Struthio camelus: one gene and its partner. The protein of the gene in region 2 purifies or fractionates together with the protein of the main gene of each other region. This does not show direct contact. Links are inferred from orthologs where the notes say so. Each region holds a gene or a part of one and is shown on either strand. Other genes may lie near its edges.

Region 1 (10,308 bases), on a different chromosome or scaffold from region 2:
GTCCAGGCCATCTAATGTCTGGCTTTTGCCAGACATTGACCACAACCTGCAGTGTTAGAGGAAGGTCATCACAACCCGGGCCAGGCATCTAGATCAGGTCCTTATCCTGTGCCTTTCCTTGCAGTCAATTCCCACTGACTCCTGGGATTTTCCCTCTGGTGTGGATAGGTTACAAGATCTCTCCCTCATTGTAAAGCAGGAGTTAATGCCTCCTATACCCACCCTGAAGTGGAGCTTTGAAGGAATACAGGAAGATGGCAATCCAGGGGATGCGACTGAACACAGAAGCAAAAAGTCGAACAGACAGTGTGGTGGAAGTCAGCAGGGAAGAGGTTAAGAGTCGGGACAACTTTGTACATTTAGCTGAGAAGAAGCAGCACACGCTTTTTACTGCACCAGAGCAGCAGAGAGGGTGTGACGGAGAGCTAACTGTGCAAGATGGCCTCATAGGAAAGCAGCAGTGCGCTGACTCACGGGCTGAGTCAGAGCCTTGCCAGACCTCTGTTCCTTTCCCAATCAAGGAAGCAGCAACTTCCCACAAACTTATTTCAAGGCCGTAGTTTGGATTCTGAGCATTCCTGCACTAAGCCACCACCCATGACGATCCCCTATGCCCTTCCTTCGATGCCTGCAACCCAGTGGGAAGCCCCATCCTTCAAAGCACAGGGCGTCCCAAGGGGGGAAATCAGTGCTGTGGCCTCTCCTAGGCAGAAAGGGAATTTTTTTCCTGCTCAGTCTGTGCAAGCTATGCCCTGTTTGGCAAAAGACTGGCTCTCTCAGGAAGGGAGGCAAGGGGAAAATTCAAGCTCAGAGATTTCCATTCTGGCATGGACTCTCCACCCTGCTCAGGAAAAACGCCCACATGCTCTTCATGGTGTTACGCTGCTTTGAAAGAACAGATTGCATGCCCTGGTTCTGCACTCTAAGGGTGGGCAGAAGATGATCTCACAGTCCGCAGTGTTCAGGAGACCCAAGAATTCAGGAAAGAAAACTGCCCTGGCTAAAATCCCATTCTGATTCAGGAACTATCAGTGAAAATCAGCAATTAAAAATATGAGTAAAATTACAAATGGAAGAAAGGGGAAATAGATAGTGAAAAGTACATACGAGGAGCTTTAAAGAACAGAAAAAGGACACAGGAAGCAGGAAAAAAATCCCTGTATTGGCAAGGCTAAAGACAATAAAAGGCAGTTTTTAAAGTACATTAGGAACACAAGAAATCTTTATGGACCAGTTATAGGCCAAGAAGCAGATGAGAAAAACATTAACAACGACCCAAACAAGCAGAAGTCTATAAATGTTTTTATTCTCTTTTAGGAAGTAAGGTATTCGATAACCTCAAAGAAGGATCAGCATTTAGGAGAGATTCACATTTGCAAAAGTACAGGCATCCTAGCGTACTGAATGAGATAACTCAAGAACATTGGTCTCCTAGTGTTAGTATTTAATAAACTTTGAATACTGTGGAAACTCCAGAGACTAGAAGAATGTGGATATTGTGGGAATGAATGTCATTCTTCAATAGGAGCATGAGTTTAGTTGATAAAGTAACTGTGTAAATGTAATGAATTGAGAGTTCACAAAATGTTTCACTTGCAGTGAGCATCATTCTGATTGCAAAGTGGGTACTATGCAGTGTGTCTAATACCCCCTTCTGAATGAATTAGAACTAGAGACATCTCAAAAAGCAGTCACTTAACAGGGTTTTCTAACAGGACCCCACAGGGATCCTGTGGTCTCCGCTGTCCCGTTTGTAGCAATGATCCTGAGGCCAATATGAAATCGCACTGAGAAAAACTACAGGTACCATAAAGAATTCCAGATGGCAACTAAGAGGCTGTGCAAGTGACACCAGCAAGGGATTTCTTTTCAAGCCAGATACATTTGAAACAACCAGGAATTCATCTAGGAACAAAGGTCACACAGAACTTTCTAATTCAGAAAACAACGACTTTGAGAAGGATTTAAGAATCACCATGGACATGCCTCTGACCTTGAGCACCCAGTGTAGTGGAGGGTGTGAGGAAAAGGCCAACGAGATCCTTACATATATAAACAACTGTGCAGAAAGCTGAGGGAGGAAAGTGATCTAATCTCTCTAGCCAACACTACTGGGACTGATGTTGAAATACTTCTTATATTTCTAATGTGGATAAATTGGAGAGAGTGCAGGAAAGAACCTTCAAATAATTGGTGAGAGGAAGGAAATGCTTCTAAGAGACTAGAAGAGTCCAGTCTGCTTACTCTATCCAACGACAGTTGCAAGACTACATTACAAAGTATAAATACCTAGTGAGAAAATGGCCTTTTTAAATCAGCAGAGAAAGGCATAGCAGGCACCAGTGGTTGGGAGTAAAGCCAGATAAAACGGAATTAAAAATAAGGTGCATTTTTGAGCCATGAGGATAATTAACTCCTGGAGGACATTCTCAAGGGAAGCGGTGCATTCTCCTGCTTTTCGTGTTTCCATGAAGTACAGAATACCTCTCTAAGACGTGCCACAGCCAAACTGCTCAAACTGAAGGTGCATCCATGGTGCCAGCTACAGGCTACTGTGTGCAAAGGGATCCAAGGCTCATCGTGCCACAGGAAGAAAGCACTCTTTGCCTAGACCTGTTCTGTTCTTACAGCTACCGTGGGAAGGGGGAAGACCTGAGTTTTTGTCCTTATCTGGTTGTTTATTTTATCTGATCATGCTTTAATGTAAAATCGTAGAAACAGGGCCTGGGATCCAGGAACTTGCATTCGCATATGAGAGTTGACTGGTGCTCCCTGTCACACACACACTCTCTCAATTAATCTTTAATTCCTTTCTGCTCAGTGGAGCAGCTTCAAAAAGCGGTAGAGTGTGCCTAAATACCAAAGCCATCTGAGGCTGGATGACTGCTGGGGCAACGGTTCTCCAAATGCGAGGTCAGCCGTACTGGGGACAGGGACAGACCCTGAAGGAAAAGGAGTTATGAGAGGAGAACGGCCCTGAGGCTGCCTCCCTTCCCTCCGTCCCTTCCTGTGTGCAGTGCCAAGCTGAGTGAGATAGGGGCTATGCCACCTTGGCTGTCCCAACGATTCGGGCAAAGCATACTGCTTCTTCATGTACAAGCCCAGACGTGGTAGGGAAATGCAAGAGGAGCTTTGCTTTTCAGCAAAGGTGCAATTATTTTGGGCATCTCCACATAGGCAGGGACCAGCCAGTGTGAGAATAAAGGGTAAGCCACAGCAGAAGTGTGAGCAGATCCTAACATGCACTCACATCTTGAGGGGCTGCAGAAAACTGGCCAGGCAATGAGGCAACTCTGACCAAGTCCTCTGAAATATGACTGCTGCTCGCACAGCCTTCCTCACTGAAGATACAACTCCAGGAGCAAAGGAGGTTTAGAACAAGAGGTCAGTGAGGGGTTTAACACTCTTAAGGTTGTACAGAAAAGCTGAATGATGGGAGCAGGACATTAACCAAAATCTTTGTGACTGGTGGCTGTGAGCCTCTTCTTTAAGGTAGCAGAAGGCTGGGGAGGGAAACGGACCTGGAACTCCCGCTCCACAGGTGAGCACTGTAACCACTAAACTATCACATAAAAGTAGTTGGCTCTCCTACCAACAGTACTATTAAAAAAAAAAAAAAAAAACACTGACCAAAGATATATTTTTTGTCATACTGAGAGGCTGATCATGGTATCCACGAGTGCTGGACATGGTCTGAGAATAGTTACTGGATGAAAGCTCTCTGAGCACTTGAGCTAGGGAATATCTTGTTTCTGGATCCTATCAAGTCTCACTGTGAGCAGGATGCTAAACTTCTTAGACCAAAGGAGTTTAACACTGGACAAAACTCTTTACGTCTGGAGATCTTTAAAATCAAAAGTTGTGGACCTGTGAAGGTTAGATGCTTCCACAGCCTTTGCAGCAAGATCAGGTAGGGATTTTCAGGAGTCTGGACTTAGGCACCTCCATTCCACCAATATCCTACTTTAGCACACAAGTCTTTAAAGGATCCAGCCCTTTGACTCTTAAACACTTTCCTGTCTGTTTGTACTTCACATCTATACACACCCAAGTTAGAGGAAAGGAAGCACCTTGGTGTCGCGGAGGACAACTCTAGTCAAAGACATTAAGTCATTCCTTTCCTTAAAAAATCATTTTATCTACTCGAAGCAGGGATTATCCCAGCATTTGAGCTATGAAACTATGAATAACTCTGAAAATAATATCCATCATCACAGGATAATGCACTAAGCTGACAATCGGAATTCTTGACTCACTACTTGGGAATCTGGACTCCTCTGAGAGGTTTGATCTTGACTCTAAACTGCCTGCAGTGAAATCAATAGTAAAACCATTTCACGGGGTGCAGACTGAGGCTTGCAGATAAGAAAATGCAACAGTGGATGCCTGGCTATTGACAAGCGCAGCTCTTAGGAAGTGACACAGTAATTACTGCTTCTATTTACGTGACTGCTGAGCACAGCCTAAAATTGATGACAAGCTGCCCAAAATATCCTGTGTAAAACCTCTAACGTTATCAGAAAGTATTAGTAAACCTTCTTCTGCTGCCCACCAGAAGGGTAGCTGCCAGCCTGTCCCTTCCTTGGGCCTGGAAAGGCATAGTTGGAGGTGGAAGGGAGCGACCCTGTGCAGGGGGACAAACTCTCGGGAAACTATCCACGGGCTGCCAACAGGAAAAGCAGATAAACACGCCTTTCTCAGTGTGCCTTGTCGTTCATCGGTCAGGGCAAGCAAAAGCAGCAAAGAGAACAAGCCCCCAGAGGCAGGCTGCTCATCCAGGAACCACTTGTCCCCGTCCCAAGCTGCTGCCATCAACCCCAGCGGAAACGGCACGCACCTCACGGAGACACGGCTGCTTTTCAAACTCCCCTGGCACAACCTGAGCAGGGGACAGGGGGTTTCTTTGCCCAAGGGGGCCAGGGTGCTGCCTGGGGCGGGTGCCCCAGTGGGCTGCTCTGCGAGCAGCCCGGCCTCGGGGACCTCTCGAGGGCCTGGCCTGGCCCAGCCCAGCCTGGCATGGCGGGAGAGTAGCTCCCCGGGCAAGCGAGCGTGTCGGTAGCCTGGTACTTCCCACGTCGCCAGGCGAGTCCCAGCAGCCTGACCACGGGATGCGTCTAAAAGCGGCAGTGACGGGAGGAGAGAAAGGGCTGCTGAGGAGACGGCGTCTCTCCACTCACACCCCCAAACTGCAGCCTTTTAACGAGACGGCGAGGCAAATCCTCCTGCAGAGCAGCTGGATCAAGGTGCTGGGCTGGCCCTGGCCCTAACCCTAACACCAACCTCAACTCCCTAACCTCAACCCCAACCCCCTAACCTTCTAACCCCAACCCTCCCAACCTCACCCCCCCATCCTGACTCCCCAGCCCCCCAACCCCCCACCCCAACCCTAACTCTCCAACCCCCTAACCCCCAACCTCACCCCCTAACCACAACCCCCTAACGTCAACCCCTAACCCTCTAACCCCAGCCCCCTAAGCCCCAACCTCAACCCTCTAACCCCAACCCCCCATCCTGACTCCCCAGCCCCCCAACCCCCCACCCCAACCCTAACTCTCCAACCCCCTAACCCCCAACCTCACCCCCTAACCACAACCCCCTAACCTCAACCCCTAACCCTCTAACCCCAGCCCCCTAAGCCCCAACCTCAACCCTCTAACCCCAACCCCCCCAACCCCAGTCCCCTAACCTCAACCCCCTAAGCCCAACCCTCCAACCCCCTAACCCTCTAACTCCAACCCCTTAAGGCCATCCCCCTAAGCCCCTAACCTCAACCCTCTAACCCCAACCCCCTAGTCCCCCAACCCCAGTCCCCTAACCTCAACCCCCTAACCCCAACTCCCTCATCTCAACCCCCAACCCCAATCCCCCTAACCCCAATCTGCCCCGGGGCGCTGAGCCGAGGCGGTAAGGTGGGGGCGACCACCATCGCTACACAGGCAACAGCGAGGCTACCACCACGGCGCCCACTTCCGCCTCGGTAGCCATCATGGCGGGCTCTTGGCTCGCCGCGGTCACGTGGCAGACGCTTTCCTTACGCCGACCCTCTCTATGGTAGGTTCTCTAGCAGCAGCTGCGGCGACTTCCGCTGGGTGTGTCTATGGTTTCCCGCGCGGTGCCTTGTGGGCACTCGGCGGGATTATGGTGGTGGTGTAGGGCTTGTTTGCGCAGGGCGGGTGGAGGCCGCGGTGTAAGTATGTGGGGGAGACGCGGTTCTCGCTGGGGAGGGGGGCGAGATGGCCTGCCAGGGGCCAGGAGTGCGCCTGGGGCGGTCCCTGGGGCGGTCCCTGGGGCAGCGGAGGGGGTAGGGGCCCAGTCCGGATCGGGCCGGGCCCGGTGCGCTAGAGGAGCGGCCGGGCTTCGGCTGGGCCAGGGAGCGCCGCGGCGTGAAGGGGCCTGAGGAAGGGGCGGCTGCGGGGGGGGGGGGGGGGGGGCAGGAGGGAGAGGGCCCGGAGAGAAGAGCGGGGGCGATTTGGGGGATGGCTGTGGTTGGGAAAGAGGGAGAGTGCCCGGGGAGAAGGGTGGAGGGTGATTTGGGGGCAGAGTGAAAGGGTGGCTGTTCAGTGGTCTCTGTGTTCAGCTCTGAGCAGCGTGCCTCGGTACTATTTGGCATAACCTTCCTTTGTGCAGCTCAAACACTGAGTTTAAAATAAAAAGCAGAAGCCTAGTTAGAGCGGTGTAAGAGGCAGGGAGCAAAGTGATGGTGCAGCATTGGTCGTACTGAAATTTTAGATTCTTACGTTGTGATTTCAGGTTTGGGGGCTGTTATGAGTTCCAGTGCTCGTGTTCAGGCTCTGTGGTGAATGTAGTGGGGATGGGTTCAGCAGGATTGTTAGCCGCAGGCATAGTGCTGTACGGGCACGTTCTGTACTGCTGGGGCAGTTCAGCTCCAGGCTTAGTTAGCCCAGCCACTTTCTCTTGGCTTAGCAGTGAGCTGGTAAACCATGCTTGGCCAGTCCTGGCCTCATGTAGTGCTAAAATGGATTTTTCAGTAGGCTGTATTTCTGAAACTTAAGAGTTTCTGAAACTTAAGAGTGCAGTGCAAAGGTCCCTGAGTTCAGGTCTGTTAAGGCCAAGCCAAACTCAGTCTGACCTCAGAAAGAGTCAATGGGGAGCAGGGACAGGTTCCAGAATATTTTTTAGTGTTTCATGAAAGTATACAGCCAGACTAGATCTGGTTCTGCCTCTGAACTAATAAATCCCTGCTGTTACTGATAATTGGTTCAGATAAGACTTGAGAGCAAATGGCTTTCTCAGATTATGGGTCTGGTAGAGTCTGCACTGAGCCAGACCTAAAAGAGCCTGCTGGGCTCCAGGTGACTTGCCCATTGTCACTGATGTGTGTCTGCAGTGGTTGGTCAATGAGCCAAGGCTAGTTACCATGTCAGTATTACCTTCTCACTGCTTTTTAAAGATATTTGTGTCTGTTAACTTTGTCCTGAATAGTAGTTCAGTGGCAGTAATAATGTTCTCTGTGGTGGTATGTTCCTATTCATGTTAAAATTAGAAAACATTTTTGTCACTGAAGTGATGCATTTTCTGGCCCTTTAAAAGTGAAAAATGAACAAAAATGCAGGTACAGCATAAACAAATTACCCTTGTTTGTGATAGCAAAAAAGCGTATCTTATTTTTTCTTCTATTTAATATTGTTTAAAATAATTTCTTGTTGTCCTTTACTATCCAACCTTCCACTTGGTAGGCTGGTGCCTTTATGTATTTCTGCGCATGTCTCTCTCTTGTGTCTTAGGTATCTTTAGTCTGTGGTTAATGGATGTGCATGTCTTTGTGAATCAGAAGTGAGGATAGTTGCAGATAACATATTTGAGATGATGCTGTTTGATCATCCAGGGTTTTTTTGCATTGGTTATCCATCTTAAAATTTTGGTGTAGTGGGGTGGGATTGCAGTGTCCAGCTCCTGTCTGGCAGTTTTGAACGCAGTGCATGCTGACAGGGTCTTTGTGTGGTAGAGGCTGATTTGAGTCTCTTTCACTCCTTTGCCACAGGAGAATTTACAGTAGCGATTCTTGGCCTCAGTTTTTTCATTTTTAGGGACGTGCTGGTGATATGTGGGTTTCTAAATGAGAGCTGCTGAAAACTTCCTTCTTTGCCTGAGCTAGAATACTTTTTTTTTTTTTTTTTTTTTTTTGTAATGTAACAGTAAAGTTGTCAGGCTTCTGCTACCGGAGGAACATTAACCCTGTCACACTTAAAACAAAAACTTTTTTTTCCTGGTCACCTGGAGCTCTGCATAAGTCAGTTCCAAAAAACTGTGCTGCGTTGTTGATGTCAGTGCTGTGCCTGCCCTAAATAGGGCCAGGAGAAGGGCTAGTGCATTCAGGATATGTGACCATCCTAATTTAATTGTCAACACCATTCTGGACATACTGTGGTCCATGTCAACCAGTACTTGCAGTGATGATAGCTGGATACAGTTTGGGTGATAACGGAGGGACTATTTCCAGTAGGCAGTATGAATGAGGCTGTCATTTCTGGGGAGAAGAAAGAGTTAAGTTACGTAGCTGCAGCCTGTGCTGTACCATTTGCCTGGAGGATGGGAGAGAATAACTCATGACCTGTTTTATTTACTTCTAAAACAAAGCCTCAGATTCTCCCTGTGCTTCAACTTTCAGACATGTTGGAAAAGTTTTTCAGTTTTGAAAAACTGAATAGGTTCTGTCAATCGTGTGCCAAATGATAGCTTGTTTTGGGTAGTGGGACTTGTCATTGCTGCTACAGTTCCAGGAACAATGTAGTTTCTAATGAATGGCTTTCATTATAAGCTGTAGTAATGACCCTTTTTTGCGTTTGATTCTATAGTAATTAAAATGACCACAGCAGCAAGGCCAACGTTTGAACCTGCAAGAGGAGGACGAGGAAAAGGAGAAGGAGACTTAAGTCAGCTATCCAAACAATATTCCAGCAGAGATCTTCCTTCTCATACTAAAATCAAATATAGGTAAGTTTTGCTTTTCGTTCTGTGCTCTTGGAAAACAGGCTGGGGAAGGTTTTCTTTTGCAAAAGCTGCTCTGAGGTTTTTCACAATAGATATTCATGTGCTTGACACTGAGCAGACACCAGATAGCGTGCAGCACTGCTAAATGAGTGGGCTACAATTGTAAGTCTGAACAGCAGACTTAGAAGATTGAATGGATTGCAAATAATTGCAGAGGTTTAATTTAACTTGTGTTTATTACCGTTTATGGAAGTGAATAACCTGAAGAGGCTTTGGAGACAAAGCATTTCAGGCAGTGCAGTCAAAAGAAAAGCATTAGGAACAGTGGGAGTTAACTGAGCCATTGAGGATGCTATCACTTATAAAGCTAGATGGGGTAAGAAGTGTGAAGGTGACCACATCTTAAAAGCAGGAATAACACATCTTGTATTTGGCATGGAACCACTAGTGAAAAGATTTAACCAGAGGCAGGGAAATAATGGAATAACATTGGGGCACTGGCTTATGCTGGAAGGGCTGATGTTAAACGCTACAAGTATTTCATGCAGGTACCAGAAAAGGAAGTTGCTTTAATCAGTATGAGAGATAATAGAATCTTGTGTAAATATTCTCCTCTGTTTCAAATGCATAATAAATCTTCATTATCATTTTGAAAGATATATTGACTCTAAATTTCACTATGATACAGACATGTAGAATTTAAAGGAGATGCATCAGCCTGGAAATGGTTTTAAACAACTGAAGTTATTCTTTTCAGTGAAACTGCTGTTAAGGTTTTATGTTTACGCTTTCTATGTGCAGATGTTCCTCCTTACACCGCTCCCTCCAGACCCATTGATTTTGAAGAATACATATGGATAAGGGAGTTAGTGTTTTGGAGAATACAAAATCAGTAGCACAAAAAATGCTATCAAATGCCCATTCATTATTATGGAAAAAATTACTCGTGCCCCTTTAAACAGAAGTGGGGTGTGGAACACCATATGCTTTGAGAGAAGTTGGGGGGGGGGAAATTATATATATATGTATATATATACATACATACACATTCACAAACTATATTTTAACAAATACCTTAACTTGGTGGGGGTTGGGTGGGGATTCTTTTATTCTTCCTCCCAAGTACCTAATGCAAAATTACCTTTGTTAAATAGCAGGACTGCATCATTACAAGAAGGGTTCAGTATTTCAGGCCCTCTTGTGCTTGCCTGAGTGACACAGAGTTTTTGGGGATTTTTGCAGCTTAACTGGGGATTCCAAAATCAGATTTTTAATTACAAGAGCAAATGAAATACTTCATGAAATACTTCCCTGTGAGGGTGACAGAGCACTGGAACAGGTTGCCCAGAGAGGCTG
Region 2 (10,760 bases):
AGTGTTATGGTTCGGTAGGGATTCACCTGGGAGGTTTTAGCTGATGGGAAAAGATAAAAATACAGAAATAAGAATGATCACAAGCAGGCACTTGTCAAAGCAAAGAACAGCCAGCCAAGGCAAGAGATAACAAAGACAGATGAGAAGGTATGAAACATACTAATAAAAGGAACAGAAAACCCGAAAGAGTAGAAACAGACTGGTCAGATACAGAAATAAGACAAAATCTGAAGGAAAAATAAGAAAAAAAATTTTGTTCCCATTTTTCCATTATGGATTTTCTTATGGTTACAAGTGTGTAAAAAGAAAAATTCCAGAGATCAGCTTTCTGTAAAAAACAATAAATAAATTCCTTTCTTACCTTCATCCATATCAATAGGATCTGGCCTGGCTGGTTTGGTTTCTGGATTTGGATCAATTTCTCCAGGTTTAAGTTTCCGAGGATCATCAGCAGTTTCTTCCTCATTGTCCCTCTGAGCAGCTTTGTCCCTGAAAATGCATCATATATATCACAATTAACTTTCTGTTTTCCCCGGCCTGACAACAGCCATCTCTTCCTTAGAACATCCCATAGACTGACCGAGAAAAATATGCTTGCACCATACCATACAGTAAACTTTACACAATTACTCACTGCAGAAAAGATTCACAAACATGGTACAGTTACCTAAATAATTGTTAAGTTAGCAGAAAGAAACTACATAATATTATACTACAACAACGTAATATTATATAAAATACAAAATTGACAAAGTTGACAGTAGTGAACTCTGCTCTTGTAATCTGTTAAAGTTCAACAAGAAATCAAGCAGTGTGACAGCATGAATACTCAAGAGTTTCCCGTTATGCTTTTAAATACTACCAATCACATCAGAACTAAAAAAGCTCACAAAAGAAGACAGTACTTTCCTTCTCTTCTCCTGCCCCAAAGAAACTCTCTGCATTGTACTAAGATAATGGCTGCACATTCAGACATTCCAATAATGTCTTTTCTGTCTTTTTTCCTGTCTTTGTCTGTCTGTCATACATACACACACACACACACTCACGCTGATCAGCCAGTCAAAAAAACTCCCAAGTGAACCAAAAATGGAAGGATTGCTTACAAAAGACCTCAGCCAACTTGAAACCACTGTACTGCAGCATCCTGGGAGAAGAGAATGACACAGCAATACAACAAACTGCACAGATTTTCCTGTTATGCACCTCTAGCAGAACAGTAACTCACAGCAGAAATTCATAGTGTTCCAAACACTGTGCAGCAGTTCTTCCAATAATTGGGGCAATGGTTCTCCACTGGGTGGGCATCAGCTTTGCCAGGTGTAAGAGTTTCTCCTCTTCTTCCCGTGACCACTCTGTCTTTTTGATGCTTGGGTCTAGCCACTCGTACCTGTTAAAAAGTTCAATAGTTAAGAGGGACAGTTGCAAGCTATCCATTGATCTATCTTAAATTAACTTATAACAGTGTTTTTGAGCATCACTACAATAAGATTTCGTAATCTTGACACATATACATATTTAAGACTTTTTTTGGTATAAAAGGATGTTACTACAACGTACTTTCATGATATAAGTATTTGAACTTTAAAACGTATTATTAACCCACCACTTTTCCTACAGATACTGCCTCTTCCTCCATTCCTTTTCTCTCTTCTGACAAAGCAGAGTCACAAAATTAACTCGGAAAAAGAAAGGTAAGACTCACAAAAACCAAAGTTACCAAAAATGGTAGACTTGTTTGGTCTGGATCCTTCTAAGAGTTGTCTTATTTATCTTTAACTGTGTCAGTACTGTTACCTTTACGCAGAAACATTCTGAGAAGTATGTGCAGCTCAATACTTGAGAAACTAAGTCTGATCCTTAAGTGGATTCATGCTGCATTATTTGCATCGCTTTTATGCTACCATTTTTGATGTAACTTGAAATATGGCAGTGTAATTTCTAAATATTGATCCTCATGCCAAACTCATCAAAAAAATAGAAAATTATCTGTAAATAATTATTTGACAATTATACTTCATTGAAAGCAGTTCTTTTGATTTAAAACACCTGTAAATACAGAAGAAAAATTATGTATGTAAATTCGGTGATTCTGTACTTGAGGACACTGCCATCACTTGCAAAGTGAACGCTTGGCTATTTTTCTTCATATTCCTTTTAAGCAATAGGAATTTGCAATAACCACAGAAATGGAACTCAAACTAAAATCACTGTTCCTCTATGGGCATAAATCAATCTTCAGTAACTTCTAAATTCACAGTAACTATGAATTTCATATTCCCAGTCATGGTATTTCTCACTTACCATCTGGCTTTGCACTGCTTTGCTGATTTCCTATGCAATAAAGAAGCAATACGAGACCACTGGTTTTTGCCATATTTCATCACAGCTGCTTTCAGAATTTCATCCTTAAAACAGAAATTATGTATATTGTTATGGATCACCAAAACTCGCAAAGCGGAAAGACTCAGCTGAAGCAGAAGAGAATGCAGTAAGTTTCATAAAAAGGGCTGACCCACTAGAAACGACAAAGCACTACTGCTTCTTTTCCACATTTTATTTCAAGATGCATGAGAATTTGTATTCCAAAACCCACTGAAATTGATAGAGACTGAATGAAAAAGACTAGGAATGATCACTGCGGCCTACTTCGCAGGCTTGACAGAACTTTCAAAATTAATAGTTTCAACGTTCTTACGCATGCAGTTTTTGATGGTTCTGTAGGTCTTTTTCAAAGAATAGTAATAAAGAGGCAGGGAGGTGTTTATCTGTTTGACAGTGATAGAACATTAAAAAAAAAATTAGGATAGATCCTCTGAGGTGGCTTGTTTTAAATAACGCCCTGAAGTGGGTTTTTTTGCAAGTTTTAATGCAAACCTGTGTTGCGATGGAATATTCACCTATAAATGGAAAAAGCTGTTAAAAAAATACACCACAAAATATGAAGTTCCTCTATTCTAAATAAATCCTAAAATAAACCACTGAAATGTTTAGAATGCTACATCCAGAAATGCTGATCCGAAAGCTTACAAGCTTATGGGGAAAAATACGTAATGGATTCAGTTAGGATTACCTCAGCTTGGAGGCCAGGCTGTTCATATATATCAAACTATACACATAGAGATATGATCAAAAGCTAAAAATTGTAATTATTGCCTTGTCAACCCATCCATCCATTCCTCTCTCCCTTTCTCCACAAAAACGGCTTCATTATTTCTGGTCTCCCCACAATTCAGAAAATGGTATTTTAAATACTTCACAGCTATTCTTTATAGCCTTGTCAACCACGAATGTTATTCTATATCCAATAAGATCACGTAGTTTGCTCAGAATCTGTTTGGCTGCACAGTGCAGATGCTAGTCGTCAGTGACAGACTCGCTGTCTAGCGCGGACAGTTCCCACAGCGCACAGCAGCTTCAACTGCAAACTAATGAGCTTCAGCTTGAGATGCTACAGGAAGCAGTTCATATAATCTCTATTAAAAAAGCCCCAAATTTCCATAAATCCTCTCTCGGTTTCTGAATTCTACTCACTGTCAAATCGCATGCAGTAGCCATACTGATGACAATAGCAGACCGATTTGCCAGTAATCGGTCATTTTTTTGACCGTCAATTAGTTCCGCTTTTTGTATTTTTTAATGTTGTACATTCACATTACATTAATCATAAAAATAGCAGTAAATACAAGAGCTTTCTATTTCATCTCTGATATACAAAAGCGGGTGAAACAACGATCCATTTAACCCACTGCTGTTTCTCTAACAGTTGCCAAAATTCATCAGCTATGGAAGATGATAAGAACAGCACACGTACACAGCAGTACTTCTTTTCCTCCACTGACCTGCAACTCAACAGCCTCCTGATGCAGAGCTGCTATATAGCATAGGTGTTTAAGAGAACATAGGACATTTATCTTCCATTAATTTTTCTTACTGCTCTTTGAAACTATGTAAATACTTAGTGTCCACAGTATACAGTAGCAGAGTTCTACAGTTTACTGTGTAAGTAAGTAAGTAAGTAAGTATCTCCTTTGCTTTGAACCTGGCACCTAGCGAAATTAATCTGAAATCTCTAATTCTTGCACTATTGTTTTCTTTTTCACTATTATTTATAGTTCTGAAAGAAACGTGAGGGCAAAAACAGGGTAGAGATCATCTTCTTTTCTTTAGACACAGGGAAACATTTGTGCATTCAAACTCCGGCCAACACAGATTCTTCTGCCCAAAACACTCTGGGCTGCAGATGAAGAGCCCATACCTATCTTCAGCTTTTCTGCATTAGGAAGGGTCTCCAAGAGGAACGAACTCCAGCTCTTTCATATCCCAAGTGAGTAAGAACCCTGCCCATGCAGTACAGGACAAGTTCCAACCTAGAAAAGCGACACCTCCGAGCAGGGCGAGGTGCAGGTGGATCCACGGAGAAGCTCGAGTTGCTGCGGGGGCGGTTTCTGCGTGCCAGGAGCTACGCATGGCCGAGCTTCCTCCCCCCCCCCCCCAAACACATGACCCCCAGGAGAAACAGCACTGAATCGACCTCTGCCGACCAGGCCAGGGGACGAACAGGGGGGTCCAGTCTGCAGGGGAAGCAAGCCTACCAGAGCCGCGGTACTTCTAAAGCCCTAACCCTTTATTCCCCCGCTAGAGAGGAATAAGGAAGACCCCAAACTCCCATCCCCGCCGTGGAGGCAAACGACCCTACTACGGAAGCCCCTCCACGCATGCGCGCCACGACCGCTCCCACAGCGCTTGCGCACTAATGTAGGGTGACCCCCCCCCCTTCCCCCTCCCCCGCAATCCCGGAGGAGGCCCCAACCCGGGGGGGAGGATATTAAAGCGAACCGGCTCCTACCTCGGTGTTCCGCCACACACCGCCTTTAATCATAATCCGCGGCATCTTGGCGGCGAAGGGGTACCAAGCTCGGCAGAGGAAAAAGGGGTGAAAGCACGGAAACGCCGCTCGTCACAGCCGGGCCGGCCGAGACGCGGCGCAGGCGCTGTCCGCGGAAAGGCGCGCGCTCGGCGCAGGCGCAAAGGGGAGGCCGTAACGGCTGCGCGGGGGGGGGGGGGGGAGGAGGGGACGGCACCGTTCGCGCACGCGCAACGGGGACGACGCCAGGCTTGGGGCTCTGCGCAGGCGCCAAGCCCAGGGCGGCAGAGCCGTCTGGGCGGGGCTCGAGGGCGTGGCCAGGAGAGGGGGCGTGGCCGCCCGGGGGCTGCTTCGAAGAGGCGGAACAAAACTCCATGCGGCGAAAAGGCTTGGGGTTTTTTTTAACCTTTTTTTTTTTTTAATCTGATCATTTTTTTCTGTCCTCTGCTGTGTAAGATTTCACCAGTCTTACTTTTACAATGTGTTTTGCTAAAGTATCTTGGAAAAAAAAAAATCCACATTAACACAAGGCAGCCCGAGTGAAAATTGGAACACTGATGTCCAGATTTTAAGAGTTACTTAAATCTTACATTTCAGGCCCCTGCACCTCTTCACCCGTCCTTTTTCTGTTATCATTGTTTATTGAACTCTTATGTATTGCAGTCTTCACTGCAAAGCTTCCTTACTGTTTACATAAGGTTTCAGATCTTCCGTTCCAATAATCAGAAAAACAAAACCAAACCAAAAAAAAAAACCTGAGGCTGAACTTCCCTATTAGGCACTAATGAACCAAGTTGCTAGTATGCTTCCCATCCTAATCAACTTGTTGACATTGTCTAATCCACTGTTCCTGCAGCTGTTACTGTTACTAAACAAAAAAAAAAAGGCAGCTGGGCTTTCAGCCCTATTTCACAGGATTACGGATCTAAACCTCGCAGAAGCCAGGCTTCAGAAAAGAATCCCCCTCTCTCCTTTTGATACCCCAATCATATGCATAGTCTGGATTCTTGCCTTTGAGAAGCAATTCTTGTCTGCTAGGTCAAGATCGCATTAGGCTGAAAGGCTGGAGATGTTGTAGAAATAGTTTGACGCTAGGTTTCCAAGGAGCAGAGTCTCACACACGTACAACAGCAAAATCATTTAATTAAAGGATGGTATGACAGGGCAACAGCTCGAGCTGGGTGCCTCTGGGGATGGACCCAGAACAAAAGAATACTTAAGTAATTATACTTTTTACAGTTTTATTTTCCCATCTGCCAGTGATAGTCTCTTCCAATCTTCTTTGCTGAGTCGGTGGTCTCTTTCCCTCTGATTGGTTCACATCTACATCCCGGGACGGCTGCTGTGTTCCTGCACCTTATCTTATCCAAAGGTCAGCTGTTACCTCTGGTCACTCTGTGCCCTTGAGGGCTGGTTTTAGCTTACTTTGCAGTCACGTTGCCAGCAATGCTCTTTGGGTTACAGTTCAGTCCCGCGGCCTGCAGGCTTCACCTGCTTTAGGCGCTTATGCTAAGCTGAAGCTAAGTCGGCTGCAATTCCCTTCTCTAATAGGAGAGCCCTCAGCAAGTTAGCCTACAGTTATGGGAACAAAATGAGCTCTTTATTTAACTGCTCTATCTCCTGGCCGAGTCCTTTAAGGAGAGAACCGAATGAACAACAAGCTTCCTTCTCCCCTCCTCCTGCACAAGTTTCTCCTTTGCCAAGACTGTACAAGCCTTCCTTAATGCTATATTCGATTTATAAACTAGACACACGCCTTTAAAGCTGGATAGCAAAAGTTTTTTCTTACACACACAAACCACCCCCCCCCCCCATCTTTACTGCAAAGTGTAAGGGAAGTTGAGGAATGCCTATTTCTTATCTCTATGCCCTCATATCCAAAAGGCCTCTGGTATGTGAGGCAATAGAAAGAAGCATACATTATCTGGTCCACAAAGACTCCTTCAAAAGTATTTTTTTTTAAACACACTTTTCTGTGTATTTTCTTCTCTCAGTTCACCCACAATTTTAAAAGCCCAAGTGAAAGCTTTATTACTAAAATTTAGTAATTTTCTCTCCCCTAGGGACACTGGATTGAGCCTGAGGAAAACAGCATGGGACAGTTTTTACTTTCCAAGCTAAAAAAAAAAAAAAAAAAAAAACGTTATTTCCTTCCATGTGCTGTATATAAAACTGGTTACAAGTATTGCAGCATGGTCTAACTCACCTATATTCATTTATTTCACCTCAAGTTTAACTTTATTATTCACTTGTTTAGAAGACATGGAGCAGATAAAATGATCTCCATATATTTGCTCAAGGAGATGGGTCACTAATGCTATTGCATTTTACTGTTTTATCCAAATTCAGGATGTGTTAATTAAAAAAAAATCACCAAGATAATGTTTTGGTTCAAGTAAAAGATATCATAGTATGATTTAGAAAAGACTTTGCTTCTTGCTAAAACTCTGCAAGGACAAAAATATTACACCTTTGATTTTTATTTTTTTGCTCGTTAGAAATAGCCAATGCCCTTATTTTAAAGTAGATATGCATTTACGTTTAAATTTAGGTTTACTTTAGGTTTAAACTTCTAATTCTATGAAGGACAGTGCATTTGCACTAGGAAAGAATTAAGGACAGAGGGGAACCTCATGAGTCTTTTTTTTTTGTTTTTGTTTTTTTTTTTAAATTAGAGGTAGCCACCTAAAAAGTTATTTTTACAAACTTATCAAGCTCCATCTGAGAATGTCTTCTGTTCTCCTTACTTGCCACTAAAAGAAATTTCCAGTGTTTACTGTGTGTCCTGTCTGATTTAATTCACAGTGTATTTATCCCTTAACGGAGAAAAGGGGAGCTCAGTTTATTTAAAACATACTTATAAACAGGTAATTATTCCTTATCAGATTTTGTTTTCATAGTTTCACCTGATGCACAGAATTTCAATTCTGTCATCATTTTTGTATCTCTTCTTTGCACCTGTTCTTTTTTTATTTTCTTCAAATACGCTGTCAGAATTCCAGAGAAATTCAAATAAAGTCAACCATGGTTGCATAATAGTGTTAATATTTCCCAGAAACGCTTTGCCACATTCATGCTAAGCTAACTTACTTCTCACAGCTGTAACCAATTGTTAGTTCAGTCATTCTAAGATCAGAATCTTTCTTCTTGCATTTCCAAATGGTGACTTCCCAGCTTATAGTAAAAATATCTGTAACATCACTAAGGTTCATGGTCACAAACATTTAATTGCCTGATTTTACTGAAATCAAAGAGAACTAGATCATTTAAATTCCTTTGTTGATCTAGCCTTAGGTGCATGCACCCACTGATAAGTTTCAGTCCACTCTTCTTGCAAATTGCTTTTCTACTTTGCCAAAGAGCCTCTCCAAGGTATCACCTATATTAACAAAGAAAAGCATAAATTTGAGAGCAGTAACATAGCAGTAGTAGTTCATGGTAACATTCTCTAAATTAAGCTTCAGGCTTACTCTGTTGTTTCATGGACTGAACTATAACATGAAAAGGGTAATTAGTATCAATCCTTTGCCATTATCTTTTTTTCCCCCCACACAAGATAGCACTGCTGTTATAAATACCATTGAACATATAGTTAGCGGCTTCCATACAGTCTCTAGCGCTGTATAACTCAAAGCAAGCTTGACTACAAAGTGGAAGAAACATCCATCTCATTCAGTCTTCACCATAATGTATTTCTATTAAATAACTACAGTTTGATATATGTCATTATACATGTCATTTCAGAGGCAGAATAAATCTCTCATATTAACAAGCAAGTTTGACAGTTCAAGATATTGCTGAAGTTTTCAATGCAATCCAAGAAGTATTTGCAATATGTAAGGAAGTGCCTAAATTAACAGAAATATTGTTTCTCAAAAGAGATGCTATGATTTTTTTTTCCCGCAAGGAGCACCGTAACTGCATTTAGCAACCTGAGAAAAGATAAGGCATTTCATACTAGATTAATATCAGGCATCTAAATAAAATTCATAAAGATGGATTTGAAGTTTCTCAGTATCTCACAAGATCTGATTACATTACCATTTCTGTCAGACTACTCAAAGAATTATCAGGGATAATTACAGACAAGATTAAGTGCCTAACAACCTTTTCATATATACATATATATATATATATACATAAAAGACTTTCATATCCCAATTATCCAGTGATTACATGAATCTGTTTCAGTAATATTGTGAAACACTTCTAATCCGTTCTCTTGCAGTTGTTGCAAGAGAACCTTACAGGAGGGAATGCAAGTTTCAGCAGACAGGAGGGAACATTAAGCCTCCAACCACATTGACAATTTTTAATTCGAAAGTTACTACTTCGCAACGTAAAACACACTCCCCTCCCTTTAAACATTCTTTCAGCTAAACAAGACTCCAGTTTAGCTACCAAAAAAAAAAAAAAGGTGAAATAGAATAAGATAACCCTTCTATGAGGGTGTTTCAACTGATGAGCATAGGGCAAAACGTAGCTCCGACCTTAGAGAACAGAAAAAGTGCTCAAGCATGAAAACGTGCCTTCAAGAACTTCTTTAGCACATCCTTTGCCGGAACCAAAGCTCTCAGAAGAGCCAGGAGCAAGACAATCTCGATTTTATTCTCTGGACCAAAAAGACTAGATGCACCCACTATCAGCTATCATTCTGGGGACAGCACATGAACACAAAACAATGAATAAATTCAAAACATGTACAGCTCTACAGAACTGAGACCTTGCTTGCAAAATCCATGCTTATGTTCCAGCTTTTAAATGTTGCCATTTATGCTTTTCCAGAAGCTTTTTGGTAGAAAACGTGACATCACATTTTTTGCACTTTGTACATTTTAACCTTTGTGCGTTTTTACATGCTTTTGCGTAGCATATCTATCTATCGTAAAAGTCACACCTTTTGCAGTGTAACTTTAAATGAGTTAGCAAGTGGCGCTTCAGGTGGCTAGATGTGCGGAATGAAACAGTACACTGACTACACTTGAATGGCTTCTCCCCTGTATGAATTCTCAAGTGCTGCTTAAAGTTTCCATTATGGACTGTGGTATAGCCGCACTCTTCACATGTGTATGTTTTGACAGGTAGTGCTTTTTGTTCATAGAGACTGCCAGTAGATGAGATTTCCTTATCAGAGTGTGAAGCCAGATGCTGTTTCAAGGATAGCCATTTGTCTGTTGAATAGTCACAGTTCCTGCATTTGAGATGCTCTGCATTAAAATGCATGACCTTGTGTCGTTTCAGGTGACTGGAAGTACGAAACTTCTTCTGACAAACACTGCAGCTGTAAGGTTTCTCACCTGTATGAGTTCTTACATGCAGCTTAAGGTTGCTTAAAATGTAAGTAGTGTACTCGCACTCTGCACACTTATAGAACCGCGGCTGACTTTGTGCTGCTAAATCACTTTCTTTGTTCCTCTGGACATCTGTCTGTTCTCCACATGCTTCCGAACAAAGCAAGGAATGGACACTGCTCAAACGTTCCGAAGAACCAAAATCTCTTTCTGGACACACGCCTACATGCATTTCACGGTGCAATTCAAGATCCTCTAAATGGCTATCTACACAGAGGCAATGGTCAAACTCATATTGATTCTTCACATGAAGACAGTTGTGTCTCTGCAAATGGCTTAAAGTTCTAAATGTTTTATTGCATTCTTTACACCCCAATGGTCTTTCATGTCTATGTATTCTTAGGTGCAGCTTAAGGTTGCTATAAACAGCAGTAGCATAATCACACTGTTTACACTTGTACATTCTGAATGAAGACAAACTGGAAGGCCATGTATCCTTAAACTTTTCCACAAATTTATGGTCTGTATCATCTTCATTATCATCTCGAACTTGTGAATGAGTGGCCTCAGGGCTGAAGAGAGGTTCCTCTTTGCAAATCACA

What was found.
Region 1: the proteins of CDC5L (region 2) and CWC15 purify together in Homo sapiens (affinity purification with mass spectrometry; 4 studies listed by BioGRID and IntAct, with this or other methods). This does not show direct contact. The link is inferred for Struthio camelus from reciprocal best matches to the Homo sapiens genes CDC5L and CWC15.

Annotation. Positions count from the first base shown.
Region 1 is NC_090942.1:211,880,084-211,890,391, forward strand, and holds the start of CWC15 (spliceosome-associated protein CWC15 homolog), read left to right. Parts: upstream 1-6,088; 5' UTR 6,089-6,097; coding exon 6,098-6,191; intron 6,192-8,816; coding exon 8,817-8,955; intron 8,956-10,308. UniProt on the Homo sapiens protein: Involved in pre-mRNA splicing as component of the spliceosome. Component of the PRP19-CDC5L complex that forms an integral part of the spliceosome and is required for activating pre-mRNA splicing.
Region 2 is NC_090944.1:13,116,268-13,127,027, reverse strand, and holds the start of CDC5L (cell division cycle 5-like protein), read right to left. Parts: upstream 5,137-10,760; 5' UTR 4,895-5,136; coding exon 4,850-4,894; intron 2,409-4,849; coding exon 2,305-2,408; intron 1,391-2,304; coding exon 1,229-1,390; intron 490-1,228; coding exon 362-489; intron 1-361. Other genes in the region: zinc finger protein 493-like, read right to left, coding at 9,743-10,760.